3 linked regions of the Rattus norvegicus genome follow. Each later gene encodes a partner of the first gene's protein in a complex. Links are inferred from orthologs where the notes say so. Each region holds a gene or a part of one and is shown in the gene's direction. Other genes may lie near its edges.

The links. Proteins that work in one complex are often made in the same cells at the same time.
Region 2: Zfp541 (region 1) and Sap30 share a complex: the UniProt entries of both Homo sapiens proteins name them as parts of the histone deacetylase complex. The link is inferred for Rattus norvegicus from reciprocal best matches to the Homo sapiens genes ZNF541 and SAP30.
Region 3: Zfp541 (region 1) and Cir1 share a complex: the UniProt entries of both Homo sapiens proteins name them as parts of the histone deacetylase complex. The link is inferred for Rattus norvegicus from reciprocal best matches to the Homo sapiens genes ZNF541 and CIRSR.

What each region holds. Positions count from the first base shown.
Region 1 is NC_086019.1:85,898,846-85,902,490, forward strand, and holds part of Zfp541 (zinc finger protein 541), read left to right. Parts: coding exon 1-88; intron 89-1,667; coding exon 1,668-1,986; intron 1,987-3,645. UniProt on the Homo sapiens protein: Transcription regulator which is essential for male fertility and for the completion of meiotic prophase in spermatocytes.
Region 2 is NC_086034.1:37,756,974-37,761,352, forward strand, and holds the start of Sap30 (histone deacetylase complex subunit SAP30), read left to right. Parts: upstream 1-1,520; 5' UTR 1,521-1,793; coding exon 1,794-2,108; intron 2,109-3,884; coding exon 3,885-4,010; intron 4,011-4,357; coding exon 4,358-4,379. UniProt on the Homo sapiens protein: Involved in the functional recruitment of the Sin3-histone deacetylase complex (HDAC) to a specific subset of N-CoR corepressor complexes. Capable of transcription repression by N-CoR.
Region 3 is NC_086021.1:78,593,451-78,597,707, reverse strand, and holds the start of Cir1 (corepressor interacting with RBPJ 1), read left to right. Parts: upstream 1-1,398; 5' UTR 1,399-1,478; coding exon 1,479-1,550; intron 1,551-4,257. UniProt on the Homo sapiens protein: May modulate splice site selection during alternative splicing of pre-mRNAs. Regulates transcription and acts as corepressor for RBPJ. Recruits RBPJ to the Sin3-histone deacetylase complex (HDAC). Required for RBPJ-mediated repression of transcription.

The sequences.
Region 1 (3,645 bases):
GATGTTTTACACAGAGAAAGGGCTGAGCAGCCACATGTGTTTCCATAGTGACCAGTGGCCATCACCTCGAGGGAAGCAGGAGCAACAGGTGAGGGGCAAATGGTGGCTTCTGTAGCTGGGTTAGACAGGCTTTGGAAGTGGATGAAAAGACAATGCCATCCATCTCAGGTTAAAGGCAGCATACTGGCAAGGATGCTGGGTGACATGAGGGCCAGCCAGGACCATCTGGCAGGCTGTAGTAGCCCCACTGGCCCTTAGTCAGTTTTGTGTACTTCCTATGTCATCAGGAGCCACTCTTCTCCCTAGCTGCTCCTTATCTTGGAGCTACCAACTCTGTATGCTCAGGTATCTGGCACAATTTTTCACTGAGGCCTGCTGGGGACAGGGGTCCCCAAAAGCCAAAATGTCCTTGGAAAGCATAATCATAGCTAGGGAACTCAGCCAAGATGGGTGCTTCTCCAGCTGCTGTTTCCTAAGAAAATCCCAAACCAGAAACACCCAGAGGTCCTCACTCTAGAAGCCTTGGTTTGAACCCACGGTCAGCACTGGCTGAGCCCTTATCAGGCCTAATGGTGTGAGTGCTGGTGACAGCACTGATATTGACAGCCCAAGTCTTGACCCTGGTCAGCAATGACCCAAAATTTGCAGAGCTGGGATGTGGGAGAAGAAGGAACTGAGGGCCCAGGCAGGAAGGTATGTCAGAGCTAAGACCTGGAAGAAGAGGAAGGCCGGCAGGGAGGAAGGAACAGTAGAAGATATGAAAGTCATTATGATTTCAGTGATGGATCTCCCTTATTATCTTTATTACTGGACCCTGTGTCAGTGCTAGGCCAGTGGTGGCTCATAAAAGACACAGGCCTCTGGGAGAACACATTATTGTTGCCACAATACTCTTGTTTCTTGCTCCCATTCTTTTTTTTCCTTTTTTTTATGATTTTCTTTTCTTTTTTCCTTTTAAGATTTATTTATTTTATTTATTTGAGTACACTGTAACTGTCTTCAGACACACCAGAAGAGGGCATCAGATTCCATTACAGATGGTTGGGAGCCACCATTAGGATGCTGAGAATTGAACTCAGGACCTCTATAAGATCTGTCCGTGCTCTTAACCACTAAGCCATCTCTCCAGCCCTCTTTTTTTCCTTTTAATACATTTTTTGTTGTTTTCTAGGTTTTTATTTGTTTGTTTGCTTGCTTGCTTATTTATTTTGTGAGACAAGGTCTCTATTATAGCCTTGCCTTACCTTGAACTTGCTATGTAAATGGGGATAACCTTTTACTCCACTTTGCTTCTGCCTCCTGTGTGCTGAGATCAAAGGCATACACCCTGTATCTGACTCTCACTCTTGGAATGCTTGGCACTTGAGCCACTGAACTGCCCCAGTGTCTTCCTATATGACTGTATGAGGAGGCCCCTGAGCCTCAGGATGGCACCATACTGAGTATGTTAGTCAGTTCTGGCTCATGTGGGTCTGGGCTATGAATAGAAGAAGGTTCTACTCAGCTTCCTGTGCTAACCCTGGGTATGGCCATGGCAGACATATATATCCTCCTCCTCTCTGTCCCTATGAGAAGCCCCATTTTCCCTTCCCTGAACAAGCTGAAGACTGAGTTAGTATAACAGATGGTCTCAGGTGACACCTGTGGTTCTGTCCTCTCTTCTTTAGGGACAAGAAAAAGACGGGGAAGAGAGAGACAGCAAGGAGAGCAGCCAATACAGAAAGAGGAAGAAGCGGCCCCAGCCCAAGGCCCTGTTTGCCCCTCCTGCACCCTCTGCCCTTGGGGAGCCAGGCCCAGGAGGGTGCCACCAGAGCTGCCTACGCTCTCCTGTGTTCCTGGTGGACCACCTCCTCAAGGGCTTGTTTCAGTGTTCTCCCTACACACCACCACCTATGCTTAGCCCAATTCGTGAGGGCTCCGGGCTGTACTTCAATACACTCTGCTCCACATCCAGGGCTGGGCCCCACCTTGTCAGCCCTGTACTTGGTGAGTGAGGCCAGAAAGCTACTCTATTCCAGGCTAAGGTGCTTCTCCTATGGCCCACAATCCCTGTGCTTTGCTGTATATGATCCAGCCATTCTTTCCAGCCTTGTATGTGCCTGTTCTGGGGGGACTCAGTGCTACTCAGAAACATACCAAGATGATTCTTCTAGATGTTTGATTGGTTTAGTTTGGCTTTGGTTTTGGTTTTAACATCCAGAAAGAACACATAGAAGCCCTTCAGCCTAATCCCTCTTGTATTCATTTTATAACCACTCTATGGATACAGAGATACACACCATGCAGATCAGCCATTTCAAGCTTGTGCTTTGAGCTTATTCTCTAGCCGCTGAGCTTCCCTGCACACAATCTTTAGAGGGTTTTTGCCATCCAAGAAGCCTGTTTTCTGGGCGGCTACACCACCCTTTTGGCTTTCATTCTCACAGTCCTATGTATCTCCCAGCCTCAGGGAGCCACTCTAATTCCTGTCCCTATAGCCTTTCCTATGCTGGTTATTTCATATAAGTGACATCATACAACTGTGGCTTTTTATGTATCCCCCATTTTACTTAGTTTATGTGTTCAGGGTTCACCAGGTGGTTGTGTGTGTCAGAACTTTTTTTTTTTTTAATCAGTGAGTAATAGTCTACTCAATGGCCAGACCACTCTTTTTAATTATCAGTTGGTAGGTATGGGTATTGTTTTCCTTTTGGCTATTGTAAATAATACTGTAACAACACTTGTGTATAACTTCCTGTGGGGGTCTATGTACCAATTCCTTTTGTGTAAATACCTAGAAAGAAATGCTGGGTTACATGGAAACTCTATTTAACCATATAGGAAACTGCCAAACTGTCTGCCAGAGTATTTGTTCCATTTTGGATTCCTGCCAACAATCGGGAGAGTCTGGATACCTCTGCCCCTTACCTGCACTTACAGGCTGTGATTCTTTCTAGCCACCCAGTCAGATGAAAGATGCCTATTGTTATGTTTAGATTTGTATTACCCTAGTGGCTACTGGTGCCAAGAATCTTGCTGGGTGTTCATTGACTATTGGTGTGTCCTTCTTTATAAACTAAGGAGATCTGGCTATTCTCCTAATGTGCACTGGGTTTTATATGTGACCACTTGACTGGCACAGAGTAATGAAGAGCCATTCCTGTTTACTCTGTTGGCAGGCAGGCCTTGAGTTCACACCCCTCCTACCTCAGCCTCCGGAGTAGTTAGACACATAGTATTATATTTTTTGAGAGTTTTATAATTTTGGTTGGTTGGTTTGGTTTGGCTTGGTTTGGCTTGGCTTGGATTTTCAAGACAGGATCTCTCTGTCTAGCACTGACTGTCCCGGAACTCACTCTAGATCAGGCTGGCCTCTAACTCATAGAAATTCACCCGCCTCTGCCTCCCAAGGGTTGAAACTAAAGGCATGTGCCACCACTGCCCAGCTATAATTTTGACTTTTAAATTTATATCTTTTTTTTATTTATTCATTTTATATATGATGAGTACACTGTAGCTGTCTTCAGACACACCAGAAGAGGGCATCAGACCCCATTACAGATGGTTGTGAGCCACCATGTGGTTGCTGGGATTTGAACTCAGGACCTCTGGAAGAGCAGTCGGTGCTCTTAACCACTGAGCCATCTCTCCAGCCCTTAAATTTAT
Region 2 (4,379 bases), on another chromosome or scaffold:
TTTATTTATTTATTTATTTATTTATTTATTTATTTTTATAGGAGTACACTATAGCCATCCACAGACACACCAGAAGAGGGCGTTGGATTCCATTACAGATGGTTGTGAGCCACCATGTGGTTGCTGGGAATTGAACTCAGGACCTCTGGAAGAGCAGTCAGTGCTCTTAACCTCTGAGCCATCTCTCCAGCCCATGGTTGGATTTAACTACTCGGAATTTGCTCTGTCCCAAGCTGGTCTTGAACTCAGAGATCTGCTTGGCTTTGTCTCTTTGCATTAAAGGTATGTACTACCATGCTTGGACCTAAGCTTTTCATGGCCTCTATTCCTCAAGATCCAGATCAAAAGCCTGTGTCTTTCAGTCTCAAGATCTGGATCACAAGTGTGCCCTCCATACACAGATAACATGGATAACTTTTATTTTTGCCATGTTGATATATACATACATATACATACATATATACATACACACATATATGTACATAGTCACTGAATTGACAAAATCTTAAAAAGGCTTTCTTTCAAAACTCCACCTGAAATGCATTATTTTTGCTTAATCAGTAGGATTGCTAAATAGTCCAATAATTAGCAGAGGTGCAGGGTTGGCATGGCCACGCCCATCCCTCCACCCCGCCCACCACAAGCGCAGGCAAGAATACACGCTACGCGGGCACAAACACGTACCCAGGCGCGCACGCGCGCAAACTACCCCACCCGCGACACACATAAGCGCACACACATGCATATATATATGACTCAAGAGAAGAGGGTTCTCCGTCCTCGTCCTCTACAGCCAGCGCAGAGAAGTTTTTGAGGAGCAGTCAGCAAAGGTGATACTAGTGTGGTTCCTTTAAATGGTCTCAAATCCTCTTAGATCCTTTTGAAAGGGATCCAAGCTGCAGTAGAGGCGACAGGCAGCCCAATGCCTGTCAACCGGTTGGCACACGAGTGTACCGAGGACCTGACACGCTCTAGAAATCAGCTGCGGCACGGAGATGGAGACGTAGGACTCTGCGCCTAAAGAGCTCTAGGTAGCGCGAGTTTTTCCATAAATACCAACAGCCCGTAAACTTTTTCTCACTTAATCTTTACTAACCCACCACACACACACACACACACACACACACACACACACACACACACACACACACATATTTAGGCTTCTTTCTAGGAGTCAGCTGGCGGTCTGAACACTAACTTTGCGAAGAAACAGGAGCTAAATCCAGCCCTTGCTCGCATGACAGTACAGAGACGAGAAAACACGGTAAACGCCTGACCTCACAGTCAGATTTGCCCAGTGCTTGGAATAGAAAAAAAAAAAAAAAAAAAAAAAAAGACCCACGGGTGGCTCGCCGCGCGATGCATGCTGGGACGAGTAGTTTGTCCCGTCGGTCCCGCACGTAATCAGAACAGAGCGCAAGTTGGCTCCGCGACCAAGAACTACCATTCCCGTGGGGCCTCGCGGCAGGGGAGGGGCGGGGCCGGAGGAGGGGCGTCTCCCTCGCGCAGGTTCTGGGGCTAGAAGGAGGCGGAGAAGCTTCGGTCCAACTGCTGAAGTCTCCATGTGACAGTGAGTGGGGTCCCGTTTCTAGGCGCCACTCCAGTCCTGATCACAGTCACAGGAACGGGCCGCTATTCCAGCACCGGCAGACCGGCAGGCTTTGGACTCTGGGCGTCGGACCGTGCGGCCGCCAGACTTGGGGTGCGGAGTGAACGGCCGCCCCGGGGAAGGAGGCGGAGCGGCGCGGCGAGCGGGGCTCTGTAGCGGCGCCGGCGCCCCCGAACTGGCAGACATGAACGGCTTCACTCCGGAGGAGATGAGCCGAGGCGGGGATGCGGCCGCCGCCGTGGCCGCTGTGGTCGCTGCTGCAGCTGCCGCCGCCTCGGCGGGGAATGGGAACGCTGCCGGCGGTGGGGCAGAGGTACCCGGTGCCGGTGCGGTGTCCGCTTCTGGGCCACCTGGAGCGGCCGGTCCGGGCCCCGGGCAACTCTGTTGTTTGCGTGAGGACGGTGAGCGGTGCGGGCGAGCGGCAGGCAACGCCAGCTTCAGCAAGAGGATCCAGAAGAGCATCTCCCAGAAGAAGGTGAAGATCGAGCTGGATAAGAGTGTAAGTGGCCCCGGGACCGCCCTGCCCTGCCTTATCCTGCGTGCCCTGCCCGATCTTTGGCGGGGTTCACGAGTCTCTGAGACTGGGCTGCAGGTGGGATTAGTGGTTCTCTGATTGAAACAAAGTCCCTGCAACTCCGGCCACCTTCCCCCCAGCGCGCGCTCGCGCAGTGGTGCGGGTCCCCTCCTCCCCTCACCCGGACTCCCGCTGCCTCGCGTGTCTCCCACGCCAGGCTTCCCTCTTCCTCCTTTGCTGCGATCTGGAAACGAAACAAAGGGGACCGCGACACCAAGTAGTTTTCTCGCAGCCGTGTAGTCCCTTCTGGAATGGAGGCGCCTTTGTTTTGCTGCCAGAGCCGGTGTCTGCCCCAGGGAGCAGCTCTGTAGCTCTGTTCCTCTAGGGAAAGTAGAGTCTGGCTGGATCCCACAATGCTTCTCTCTCTCTCTCTCTCTCTCTCTCTCTCTCTCTCTCTCTCTCTCTCTCTCTCTCTCTCTCTCTCTCTCTCTCTCTCTCTCTCTCTCTCTCTCTCTCTCTCTCTTTCTCTCTCTCTCTCTCTCTCTCTCTCTCTCTCCCCTTCCTTCTGCCCCCCCCCCCTTTTCTTTTTCTTTCCTCCTCGGTGTTCTCTTTCTCTTGAACACAGGCAGGGAAGCCGAGCTCACCAGTTGCCTTGCAGAGAGATGGTTGTAAACGGCGTTTGCGGTGTCAGCTCTTCGGGCAGCTGCTCTGAACCAAGGCTGCAAATAAGCCTCTGCGGTTTTACAACCCTCTCGGCAGCCATCGGGATTTCTTTTTCTGTCTTTATGCACGTCTGCTGTTTTGGCCAGCTATGAGGTTTCAGAGAATTCCACTACTACTTTTCAGAGCTCTGACTGATGGCAAAGGAAGAACAAGATACAGAACCTCCACACATCCTGTATATTTTTAACTTGCCCTTAGCTTAGAAGTCAATTGAAAAGCCTGTTCATTCGGCCTTTAATTGTAGCCTTAAAAGCGGGGAGGGGGAGAGTGTCAACCAGCTCAGTACTTTCTATCCCACCGTATATAACTCTCAAATGCCTGAGTAATTACATTTTTTTGAAAAGTTTATTTGTGATTCTGTTTGGGCAGTTTCTCAGTAGGGTCCATGAGAAACTTTGTAAGTGAACGTGAATAATTTCAATTTGCTTTAATTGAAAACAACATAATACAGTGAAATGCATTCATTTAATTCTTGAAAAGAAACCTTGGGGCTTGAAATTTAAACATAGGATATGAATATGAATTCAATGACACATTCGTAAAAAAATGCATACTTTGTATCTGTGTAGAATTTGACTATCTAATTAGAAAGATAAGGAAGCATATGTGCCATTAATATAATTTGCTGTTCTCAAGTTAGAGAAAATACTAACAAGTACAAAATTGTGGGCAATGTCACCTCTCCCCTTAAGTCAAAACCAGCAGGAGCTAACTTATTTAGGTCACCCTCGATGCAATTTGGTGACAAAACACAGAGGATTGGAATTTCTCTTCCTCTGCTTGTCTGCCTGCCAGGTGCCTGCCTGAGTTCTCCAACCATTCTTCCTACCAGCCCATCACTTTCTACTACACCCCTCCCCCAATCTCCTTAACAGTATCACAGATTGCTAATGTTACAGCAGTTTAGTATTGGAAAGAAACATGCATCCTCTTGCCAGTGCCATTAGACTGTTTTTAGTGAGCTGCCTGGGCCTGTGCAGTTTACTGACCTTAGTTTTCTGGACTCACAGTCTTTTAACCTTTCTTTGTCCTTTCCAGGCAAGGCATCTTTACATTTGTGACTATCATAAGAACCTAATTCAGAGTGTTCGAAACAGAAGGAAGAGGAAAGGGAGCGATGATGATGGAGGAGACTCACCTGTTCAGGACATCGACACTCCAGAGGTAGACCGCAGGGTTTTCTATAGTGAATTGTCAATCATAATCACACTGGCAACTCCAAAACCGTTCTGTAAATATTTAACCATTTAAAGCATCTGAGAAATCTCAAAATTAAATACAGCCAGTAAGTTGGCTTTATATTAATATTAAATCTCAGATGACAGTCTTATAGTTCTTGATATACAACTTCCCCTTTTATTTCTCCAAAAGTTTATAATATGTATTCCCCAAAGATGGAATTGTTTCATAAATTACAGGTCTGATTTTGTAAATGAAGTCATGTGAAGTGCCATACAGATCAGTGATATCTTTTTAGCAGAGTGATCTAATTCATGTTATTTTTTTTCTAGGTTGATTTGTACCAATTACAAG
Region 3 (4,257 bases), on another chromosome or scaffold:
AGAGGTTGTGAGGCATTGTGCAAGCACACCTGTGTATTAGGAATTGAACTGAAGTCTTTGGGAAAAGTAATGAGCTATCTTAACCACTGAGCTCTCTAACCCAGTTCCCTTCTTTTATAAGAACCAAATCTTGCTGGGGATGGTGGTGCACACCTTTGATCCCAGAACTTGGGAAGCAGAGGCAGGCAGATCTTTGGCCTACAGAGTGACACCCAGGGCTGCACAGAGAAACCCTGTCTTGAAAAACAAACAAGAAGAAACAATTTGTAGCACAGTTTTATAGAGGAGCATTCTAACTATTTAAGAAAAATAAAAAAATATAAACACAGTAAATGTTTTATTGAAAGCAAAACAAAGCAGGATATGGTAGCACACTGTAATCTCAGCACTCAGCAGAATGAACTAGAGTTTAAGGCTACCCTATGTTTCAAAATGAACAAAATGACTCAAGAAACAAGTCTATCACACAATAAGTGAAGAGTCTTCTCCATCTCAAAGATGGGAAGAGGTATCACTGTTTTTCTTTTGAGTCACAAATAACACACGATAAAACTCCTGGAACACCGCCAACTCCCAAACGAAAGCTGTCATCTGTTGTAATTTGGCGTGTTCTTATCCTCGCTAGAGACCGGTGGACTATGCCCTTGCCTACACGAACTGGGATGGCGGCAACAACTAAGAAACCAGCGCTCAGGGAAGAAAGCACTTGGCCCTAACGGGTTCTTATCATTCACGATTTTTGCTGAACATTTCCACATAGCTAGAAATAACCCAAGGAAGCTGCGTGTATTGGCCTTTAATTACAGCACTGGGGAGGCAAATGCAGGCGTGTATTGGCGCAGGCCTTTAATCCCAGCACTGGGTCGGGAAAGACAGGCAGATCTGTTAGGTCAAGGACAGCCAACGCTATATGGCGAGACCACGTATCAAAGATACATAGTAATAATAACAATTATTAAACAATAACAGTAATTGGAAAGGAAGAGCCTCGGTTCAGTCTATTCCCGTGCTTTTGGTAACACTAATCTCACAAACGTCCTACGGTTGGCGTAAAACTATCTCCATTATCTACATAGGAACAGCGCCGCAAAAGAAAAATTTTGCAACTGGAGTCGACGTTGCCAGAAAGTGCTGGGCTCGAACTTCAAGACCTCGCTTGTTCGGGACGTCTGCGCTCAGAACGATGCTGGCGCCCTAGAGCCCACCGCCGCTCGCGACCCTGCAGAGTGCGAACGACGCGCAGAGCGGACGCCTGAGCTTACCTCTGCTGCGCACGCGCGGACGCCGGGTAACAGCGACGAGAAGCAACTACCGGAAGAGAGCAGGAGGGGCGGCCCCTAACGCTAATCTACGGAAGTAGTCACCTCCGACCTCGGAAGTTCTCGCCCATGCTCGCTTAACAGTTCCGGTGACGCTCCGGGAGTTTGTTTACGTTCCTCACAGACTTAGCAGTTGGCTTCTCTGGCTCAGACTCCAAGATGGGGAAGTCATTCGCCAATTTCATGTGTAAAAAGGACTTTCATCCTGCTTCCAAATCCAACATCAAGAAGGTGAGTAAAGGGATCCGGAGACGGCAGCCAGGTGCTGAGCTCCCTGCGAGAGTCATCTGTCTGAAGCCGTCTCTCCTTCCTCCGTGCTAACCCAACAGACCCAAAGATCCCCAAAGTCCGGCCTGTCGGTCAGTGTGGAGACAGCTTGGTAACACTGTCTTCTGCCCATTCAGGGTAGGCTCTGCTCCCCTGGGTCGAGACTCCTGGTTAACTGAGATCTTCTAAGAGAAATCCTCCACCACTTTCACTCTCCATCGGGCAGTGTGGTTTCTGATGGCCGCGTTCAAGTTTAGCGTTTCCAGTAATCACAGGTCAACCAGATGCTGGACACAAAAGGGTCGTGGCGAGAATTACAGCGGGAAAGAATGGCGACGGAGATTGTCTGGGCTTTGGATTCAGACTAGGATTCCTTAGTTCAGTACAGTTACATGGAGCCCCGAGGCCTCGCACAAAATAGTCAATGAGGTGATCATTAGCCTCCCACCCTATTGATTAAGAATTATCAGTGGATGCTGCCCTAGTTTGTAAAATATTTAGGAAGATTAGAGGAGATAGTATGGGAAAATACGAGAAACGTAAAATGAAGACTTAGCATTATGTTAGGAAAAGTTCTCAAAAGCATACAAACGTGTGAGAATAAATTACGCTTTAGTTGTTTCTAAACCAGTTGTGGGTCCTGTGTGTTGCCATGCATCTAAAGAATGTAAAGGCCATTTCGTTCACGCTATGGAACCGAAAGCATCTGTGGGAGCAGAGCCACAGGGAAGTGGGTGGGCCTGTCAGAGCTTTAGGATTTGAGCTTGGGCCTGTTGAATCCAGGATCTCAAAATGCATCGTGATTACTGTCCCTTGGACTGTAAGGTTTATGTAGGTAATCTTGGAAACAATGGGAACAAGACTGAATTAGAATGGGCTTTTGGCTATTATGGACCACTGTGAAGGGTGTAGGTTGCTCTAAACCCTCCTGGCTTAGCTTTCCTCGAATTTGAGGATCCCCAAGATGCTGCGGATGCTGTCCACGAGCTATGGAAGAACGCTATGTGGCTGCCACCTAAGAGTGGAACTGTTGAACGGTGAAAAGAGAAGTCGGAATCGCGGCCTGCCTACCTCTTGGGGTCATCGTCCTCGAGATGACTCCCGCAGGAGGAGTCCCCCACCACCTCTCCACAGATCCCCAAGAAGGAGAATCTTCCTGAAGCCAGAGCAGGTCACTTTCTAGAGATAGGAGAAGAGAAAGGTCTCTGTCTCATGAGAGAAATCACAGGCCGTCTAGATCCTTCTCTAGGTCTTATAGGCGATCTAGGGCAAATGAAAGGAAATAAAAGACCAGTTTGCAAAGTGGTGTACAGGAAATAACTTCATTTGACAGGAAATATGTACAGGAAATTAAGTTTTGTTTGAAACTTCATAAGCTTGGTGCATTTTTAAGATGTTTCAAATGTGTTTTGTCTCTTGGAACAGTGACACAAAACATTGTAATTTTCTGTGGTTTCAAATGGATCGTATGAGGCATATAATATCAAGAATTATTAGTTTACAATGTTCCCTGAAGCGAGATTGGATCTTTTTTGAATTTTAGTTTTTCATAGACTGAAATAAACCTAGGTCCTGCCCAGTTTTAAGTGTGATGTACTGATGATGTATAAAGCGACTGGCGGGAGTTGACTAAAGCTGTAGTCCCTCTAGCAGCAGAGACAGTGTGGCCCTTCGTGCGGGTCAAATGGTGAGCCATCTCTAAAAGCTGCTGTGAACGCAGCCCACAGAGAAAGGGTGGGAACCACACTCTGAAGGCTTTCAGAGCGGCTCCTTCCTGGCTGCTGCATGCGATGCAGAGCTTTCTTTATTTGGAAATGTAAAACCAAGACACCAGTGCCCTGTCAGTGTAGGGTACATTGTAGAGCTGAACTTCTCAGTTACTGTGCGAGATTCTTTTTCATGCTGTCATTTGTAATATGTTTGTGAGAATCCTTGGGATTAAAGTTTTGCTTACAAGAAGAAAAAGAATGTATACATTAGCATACATCCACGTCAGGGTATCTGGAAGAAATGCCAGTACTGGTTAGCTGCAGGTATAGTTACTTAAGTGTTTAAGTCTTGTTCTGTTTATTTGCACAAACTCCTAATCCCCCCGAGTCTATTTCTTTACATGTTTTATAGCCTCTTTTTTTGAGGTGGGATCTCAGGCAGTCTAAGCTGGGTTCAAACTTGCTCTCTAAGGAGGATGGCCCTGAACTCATCCTTCTGCCTCCACCTCCCACACAGTGGGATTAAAGGTGGAGGCCAGTGTCCTCAACTTTCCTTTCTCCTAAATCATAAAATAGTTTATAATATGCAAGAGAATCTTTGTGAGCACTTTGATGATGGAATTGTGGGTTTTTTGGTTTTGGGGGGCTTTTATGTTTAACGGACTGTAAGTTCTTGAGCAGTTGAGACTAATGAAATAACTGCATTCTAAAGCTTGAGATACTTAGTAATTTTTCTGTTTTGGTTGGGATTGTTTCAGACAGGGTCTCACTGTGTAGCTCTGGCTGGTCTGAAATACTTACTAGTCCTACCTCAGCCTCTCCAGTTCTGGGATTATGGCATGAGCCAACACACCCAGCCAAACACAGTGAAGACAGCTAAAGGGCATGTACATCCCGGAAGAAGCCAGTGAACTGTAACCACAACACACAGGTCAAAGCCACCTGGCTTTTCTTCTAAGTGT